2 linked regions of the Drosophila melanogaster genome follow. The protein of the gene in region 1 purifies or fractionates together with the protein of each later gene. This does not show direct contact. Each region holds a gene or a part of one and is shown in the gene's direction. Other genes may lie near its edges.

Region 1 (3,600 bases):
CTGCTGGTGGATGGAGGGGCGTCGGCTGTGATTCCGGCGACGGGGCAGTCGTCCGTTCTTGGACATAGGTGACTGACCCTGAGCTGGCGGCTGCAATCCCAATCCCTGGCGAGGAGACAGCTGCTGGGGCTGCTGTTGCTGCTGGGTTTGAGACACCTGTTGCTGCTGTTGTTGCTGGGACTGGGATAGCACCTGCTGCTGTCGCTCCTGGATGCGTTGAAACTGCTGATCCTCATCCCTCTGAGGACCCGCCCTCAGCTCGGCCGGAGCCATACCATCGACGTACTTCACATCCGCCGGATTTGTGGCCGGTTGCTGTGCAATCGAGATGTTGACATGGGTGGCCGCATCCACCTGGCTGCAGGCCACCAGCAGGAGCACCAGCACTCCTCGGAACATCCTGTTCTAATCCTGTTACCAATCCGAAGTCAAAAATCCTAGCTGTGTGTCCAATCACTGCTGACCACCACCAAAGCTGACCGCTGTCTGATCGATAGTGGAGTGTGCTCCGCATATTTATACGGATTTTGGGTGGATTCGGAATCAAAATTGGGGGAGCGATCGCATTCGCAATCGCGATCGCGATCAGTGTCAAAGTCAACTGCAGCACTGGGAATAGCAATGCATACACACTATGGCGACAATAGCTTCGATAGCTTCGCTACTGACCTGGGCCAAACTGTTTAGGGATGAGTCTCAGATGCTTAACCTAGTTCTACAATTAAAGGCATTCGAGCGATCGCATTTGAGCGATGATGCATTCAACAAATTGCTGTCATCGCTTCACACTTGTGTGGCACGCACCAGCACTGAGAGAAAAGGGGCCTAAGTTCGTTCATATATCACAGATATATCATTTAATATGCGATTTTATTAAAATAATTTCTTGGGAAAATTTGGGAAAAGTTCTTTCGGGTAAAAGAAGCTAATCCAATAGAGATCTTTAATTTCGCTCCAGCTCATCAGTTTGGTTTTTCTCCGCCTGATCTCCACTGCGAATTTCGATGGCATCCGTAAATGGTGAGTGCAGCATTTTCATGTAATTGTCGGAAGGTCGGAGTCGCCGCTCCATTGGCAGCTGGTTTGAACTTGAAATCCGGCCGAGACGTTGAACTGCTCCACTGGAGGAGGAGCAGCTCGAGATCGGCGCCCCAATGGGCTGACGGATTCGCATTTGTTGGTTTTGGGGGTGCTGGTCAGGCAAACTTGCGCAATCGAAGTTTGGCGAGCATTTGGCGAACACTCGGAGCACTCGAATTCGGAAAGAAGGTAAAGGTTAATGTGAAGTACTTTTGCTTCTTTCTGCACTTAAAGTAACCACCAATAAGGTCAAATTGGTAAGGGGGAATATTTTAAAACAGATATTGCCTACTCACAGAAAAAGTAACTTTTCTTTCAAAAATATCTAAAGGATATTAAAGCAAACTTGTTTTGAATATCATTATAGAGAAAGGCAAATATGGGTTTTAAAATCTAAAACTCAGACTAATTGATCAAGGTCCTTTCAAAGATTAATTAGTTTTAAAACAATGCGAGCTTTCGTGGTCATTAAGTTGAACAAGTTTTCAAAAATTGTGCTCTACCGTTGAAAACATCATACCTTTCTTTTGTGAATTTCGTTTTTCCCTTAATATGACATCTCCAAATTTCACAGTCACCTAACAAATATATATGGCTTGGAAACAGAAAAATAAACTCCTTTTTGACACTTGTAAAAACCAGTTAAGCTGTGGCGCCGTAAACGCCAGATCCTCGATGATGCAGTCCATCCAGTCTAGGATCAACGTGCTTAACACCATTGCTGCTTCCAGCAAGCGGATTGAACGCGCCAGCGTTGACACGGTAAGTCCGAATTGATACAGTTCCAACTACCGATCAAAGTACGTGCCCGGCGTCGCCAAACACCCAGGTGATAGTGTGGTAACCACGAATGGCGTTTATTATGTTTGCGGGTGGGAATCAAAACCAGTAAGGAGTAGACAATATATATACCATGCGGTGCATGTGGCCGGCCACAAGACTATCTGTGGCCAGACGGTTACAAGCTAAAGCTACGCGAAAACACAGTCCAAAAGAGCAGCTAACGTCTAGGGCACATCTACAGCAGCTTTTCAATGTCCTTGGCGATGTCCATGGGATCGGTGGTCGGGGCATATCGGTTGATGGGCACGCCCTCCTTGTTCACCAGAAACTTGGTGAAGTTCCACTTGATTCCGCTGCCCAGGGTGCCGGTCTGCTTGGCCTTTAGGTATTTGTACAGCGGCGCCGCATTGTCTCCATTCACATCGACCTGCGGGGGTGGGGCAAGTTTAGTGACTCGGTCTACAGCAATCGGCTAGCAGCTTTAATAGTCTTACCTTGGCGAACACCTCGCCGATGTCAGCCTTGGAGTCGCGCAGGTGGCACACCATGGCCTCTCCATCGGCCTCCGGCATCTGGGACCCAAACTGATTGCACGGGAAGTTGAGGATCACCAGGCCGCGCTCGCCGTACTTCTCCTTTAGATCCGTCAGCTTCTCGTAGTTGTTCTTGGTCAGGCCGCACTTGGAGGCGATGTTCACCACCAGGACCACCTTGCCCTTGTACTTTTCCAGGGAAACATCGTTGCCATGGGTATCCTTCACGGTGAACTCGTAGATCGAGGCGGCGTTCTTGTAATCTCCGTTAGCAGACATGTCGATCTGGAAGCAATAGAAAGTGGGAGTTAGAATTGGGTAATTACTAGTGGCTGTGAAGGCTTGGGTCGATGTTTTGATCAAGAGATATAGATATTTATAGCCTTATCTTCAATCGGGGTATGAAACACTATATTCTGTATCAAAATCGACCCAGGCTACGCGGTTCATTGCAGTGAACAGGCAACAGAGAACAGAGAACAGAGAACACAGGCAGTGGCAAAGGCTACAACGTTTAGTTAGGCGCAGAATCAAGCAACTGAGTTAGTCAACGGGTTAGGATCTAGTCAACTAGCAATCAGCACTACTCACGGCAGCTGCTGTGGAGTGCTGGGCGGCTGAGGAGATGGCGTTCATGGGCGTGGCCGCACAGCTCACGGGAAGCATGATGGTGCAGAGGCGAAGGCACTGCCTCTGACCGCGACTCAGCTCGAGGACGGGGCCAGGGGTCCGCCTCATCGAGTAGCACCTGAGGGCCTGGCGGGAAATGTTCTGAAACTGCCTGAGACTCATTCTTTAAATGCTGCAAATAATAACCGGGCAGAATGTTCAAATTTAGTGAAAGCTTAGGCAAGTGAAGGAATTACTGGTGTGGATGTGTACGTTGTGTATCAGATCGAACAACAATCGTTTCAAAACAATTCAAATGGGAAAATATAAAAATCAAGTCCACATTTCTACTGATTAACGAAATAGTTAAGTAGATAAGAGCAAGTAGTAAGTAAAGTAGTAAGATAGCTCAAAGCTATCTTATTTCCGAATAAGAAAGTGTGGAAATGTATGTGGTGTATAGATTGTATTCGACAACCCGACGACAAACATCCAAGATTATTTCACGTTTTGATAATGGGTTTCCTAATAGTTGTATGTTGTTTCATAGACATTTACGAGGGTGCTATCAGGCTTCTGGTTACAGTGACGCTGC
Region 2 (4,131 bases), on another chromosome or scaffold:
TCGAAAACAGAATCTTAAATCAATTCAAATCCATTAAAATTCCTTCCAGATGACATCCCAATGATAAGCTAAACCTTAAAATTTAATCAGCATCAGCTGTTATTTTGTTTGTATATTCCATTTCGTGTAAATTGCTTTAAAACAGCCCGCGAATGGCATACCCGGAGTCAAAATGGTTAAATTATTGGACAATACAAATCAATATTTTACAAGCAATTCAGCGTGTGGATAATGGTCTTATGATAGGCATTTTGCCAAACAACTACTCATGTATGAGTAGGGTTTCATCTAAGACTTGTAACAATATGAAAGGAATACTCCTTAGAGAATTATTGGTGAATGTAAAATCGTAAAAATTTGGTATGAAGTCTTCATAGCAGAGGCTCATTCTCTATCTTGACATCGCACTCAACCATGGAGCTGTCGACATAGTCAAACGAAGTTGGTGTTTTTCGGCTACTGATTTGGTAGCTGGAATTGGATAGATGGTACTGGGATTTCTCCAGCTGAGTGGCAAAACTGGAATTCGGGGCTGGTGTTAGTTTGGGCATGCTGCGCTCTAGAACGTCTTCGGGTCCCGCCGCCGCGAGCATGTGCTGATCCTCCTCCCTGAGTTCCACCAGAACGCGCGCCATCTCCATTCGAAACTTAAGATTGCTAATGGCTGACAGAGACTTTACGTGCGGCATCATGCTCATCAAGAAACTCAAGTCCGAATCGTTCTTTAGATCGGGTTCAGTGGTAGACTTTGACGCCTGGCTGGCGTATCCATTCAATAAGGGGACATCGTTAGACGGCGAAGTTTTCCTCCGACGTCCTCTCTTCGAAGGCGGGGGTGGACGTGGCAGGAATTGTTGGTGGCGCGGCAAGTGTATGGGCAATGTGGGCGATAGATCCTGATCGGAACGATGGGCGCCCGAGGATGAAGAATCCAAAGGCTTGATCAGCGAGCCTTTATCCGAGCCAGAGTCCTGGGGCACTGACGGCTCCCGCTTAAATATGTCCTCGATGATTTCAAAGTCAACAGAGTCATCATTGTCCAAATCCAAATCGATAGCGAAGTCAACCAGTCGGGTGGGCTCGAAGACTTCCGGCTGCTCGGTGTTCATCACGAAGGGCTCTGGTGGAAAGGGCACCAGGCCCTCCGGATCGAAGATTTGGCGCATGAACTCCAGTGAGCGAAAGTATGGCCAGTGGGACATCTCGATTCGTTTCTGCTGTATCTTGCGCACCTCTGCCCGGTAGCTGTCCCGCATTCCCTTGAAACGTTTCTTGCAGATCGAGACTGCAAAATGACCAGGTGTTATTTATAGGTTTCCTAGGCATATAAAACCCTCCTCGTTTATCCGCCACTCACCATCCTGCTGCATTATCTGCGCGACACTCGCCCACTGGAGAGCTGCGTCCTGGTTGCGGTACGAAATGGACATGTTTGTGTCCCACAGGCACCGCCGCTTGGACACCTCCTGTATGAGACGGTAGTTATCTGATTTCATGGCGCAGTGGACCAGAAATTGCGGTTTGTCCACAAATGCAATGCTCCGAAACTTGCGGATCCCGAATTTTCAACGCAATTTTCACAGCAATGACCGCGCTCACAGCAAACTCGACGAATGTGTGAGCGGTTTCGACCCGACGGTAACACTTTTAATATCCCAAATTCGGGCTTGCTTTGCTGCGTTTTGGTGGAATATACAAAATCTTGCTCTTGCTAAATCTCGCAGTTTCGCTTGCCACTACAAATAAATGATTAATTGCGCCTGGCAGCTCTGGTCGAACAGCTGCTTAACGGTATTACCAGGTGCATGCAAAACGGCCACACCAAAGGCACTATGACACTAGATGAACTTATTTAGTAGGATTTATTACAAACGTTTAAAGAGCACAATGTACAATAACTGCATTTGATTCCAAAAAAAAATGTTAGTTTAAAGATAAAGAATTAGATAAAGACCCTTTTGGTCGAAAAACAGTAAGAAAGAGACGAGTCAGTTCGTGGTGTCATACCAGCATACTTTCATTGGGGTTGCAACCCTGGCAGTAAAACAAATGATTCACAAACGAATTGATTTTGTTGCCGGCTGTGGGTTTAAAACTCGATAAAATCGTCAAGCAGCCATGTCGAATTCTGTGGAAGAGTGCAAGGATGAGGACCTGCCGGCAAACACGCTGGAGCACTTCACCGAACTGCAGCAGGTGCTGGAGATGATCGACAACATCAAATCCATTGCCGCTAACACCTTCGAAAGGGAGTTCGAGCAGTACGCCCAGGTTTTGTCTAGATATCAGGAGCAGCCACACCTCTTGGATCCACATTTGGAGGAGTTACTCGGCAAACTGCTCCACAAGATTCGGAAGCCAGATCTAGACACTGGAGAGCTTCATGCAGCCTTCAAGTATCTCTACATCATCTGCAAAGTGCGCACCTATAAGGTCCTGGTAAAGTTTATGCCACACGAACTGAGCGATCTGGAGTTTGTTCTGGATTTGCTGGGTCAGCAAAATCCCAAGGAGTTCGAACAGTGGGAAACGCGCTATATACTGCTCCTGTGGATGTCTATCCTGGTCCTAAATCCCTTTCACATGTCGAGACTAGATGCCTATGACACCTCCACATCTGCTCCCACCACCAATTGCAGTCCCGTGAACCATGTTCAGTCGAAGAACACCAAGATGGATCGCATCTTCGAGCTCATCCAGCTTTATGTGTCCTCCAACGACACATGCAGCAGCATGGCTGCTTTCCTGGCCGCCAAGTATTTCATTCGCAGTGACATCAAGGATCTATATCTGGAGCGCTTCCTGGACTGGATTATGGAGCAGCACCAAGCGGACACGTTGAACGTCAAGTTCGGCCAACTGGCTGCAGTGGCTGCTATTTTAAAGCACGGAAAGCGAGAAGATCTTCTGCCCTATGCGGACAAACTTCTTCAGTGGATCACTTCCTGTCAGTACAAGGATGACAACGACTTTCTCAAGTACAAGAACTATGTAAAAATCATCCAGAGAATTGGATTGGTTCATTTGAAGCCACGCATTGCCAGCTGGCGGTATAAAAGAGGTAAGCCTGGGGTTTGTTATTCACGCATGAAACCATAATAAACTAGTGTTTTCTTAGGCACTCGTTCACTGGCCACCAATCTAAACCAGACAACTGCGGCAGGAGGTGAACCAGTTGTTTTGGAGCAATCCCTGGAGGAAGGCGAGGAAATAGTGGTCCCCGATGCCATAGAAGAGGTGATTGAGGAGCTGCTCCAGGCACTGCGAAGCGGAGGAAACGATATACGCTGGAGCGCCGCCAAAGGATTAGGCAGAGTCACCAATCGCCTTCCCAAGGAGCTGGCCGATGAGGTTATAGGGTCTGTGATTGATATACTCAACCCGCTGGAACCCCACGAGGCCTGGCATGGTGCATGCCTGGCTTTGGCAGAACTGGCAAAAAGGGGATTGCTGCTGCCACATCGATTGGAGGAGCTAGTACCCCTCCTTATGCAGGCGCTCTTCTACGACGAGATGAAGGGCTACATGTCGGTGGGGCAACACATCCGAGATTCAGCCTGCTACATGTGCTGGGCATTTGCCAGGGCTTACAATCCGGATGATGTGAAGCCATTTGTGCACAAAATCTCATCTGGCCTGCTGACCGTTGCAGTGTTCGACCGCGAGGTGAACTGCAGGCGGGCTGCCTCGGCAGCTTTTCAGGAAAGTGTGGGACGCCTGGGCAACTTTCCCTTCGGAATCGAAATCTCCACCACGACGGACTTCTATTCCGTGGGCATCAGGCAGAATTCCTATCTAAACATCAGTGACTACATTGCACAGTTTGAGGTGTACAGGGAACCATTGATTAACCATCTAGTTCAGCATAAGGTAAGCCATTGGGATTCGGCTATAAGGGAGCTGACAGCCAAAGCCCTGCACAAACTATCCCTTTGGGAGCCCGAGTACATGGCCGCTGTGGTGCTGCCGCAACTGCTGGCAAAAACTGACACCATCGATATTAACTGCCGGCATGGTTGTGTCTTAGCCATGGGAGAAATAACACTGACCCTACGGAAACTAGAGGAAAAGAGTGATCCCCAAGTGGTTTACCTCTCCAACCAACGGGTTGCGGAGCTGAATGAACTAATA

Evidence for each region.
Region 2: the proteins of Strip (region 1) and Tbcd purify together in Drosophila melanogaster (affinity purification with western blotting, with the first as the bait; one study listed by BioGRID). This does not show direct contact.

Annotation. Positions count from the first base shown.
Region 1 is NT_037436.4:3,326,941-3,330,540, reverse strand, and holds the start of Strip (striatin interacting protein), read left to right. Parts: upstream 1-1,669; 5' UTR 1,670-1,671; coding exon 1,672-1,842; intron 1,843-1,914; exon of another isoform or gene 1,915-2,098; coding exon of another isoform or gene 2,099-2,290; intron 2,291-2,357; coding exon of another isoform or gene 2,358-2,681; intron 2,682-2,987; coding exon of another isoform or gene 2,988-3,188; exon of another isoform or gene 3,189-3,198; intron 3,199-3,600. Other genes in the region: CG14961 (uncharacterized protein), read right to left, coding at 1-399; Gtpx (glutathione peroxidase homolog with thioredoxin peroxidase activity), read right to left, coding at 2,099-2,290, 2,358-2,681, 2,988-3,188.
Region 2 is NT_033779.5:2,145,529-2,149,659, forward strand, and holds the start of Tbcd (Tubulin-binding cofactor D), read left to right. Parts: upstream 1-1,989; 5' UTR 1,990-2,118; coding exon 2,119-3,061; intron 3,062-3,118; coding exon 3,119-4,131. Other genes in the region: CG11723 (uncharacterized protein), read right to left, coding at 372-1,285, 1,358-1,496.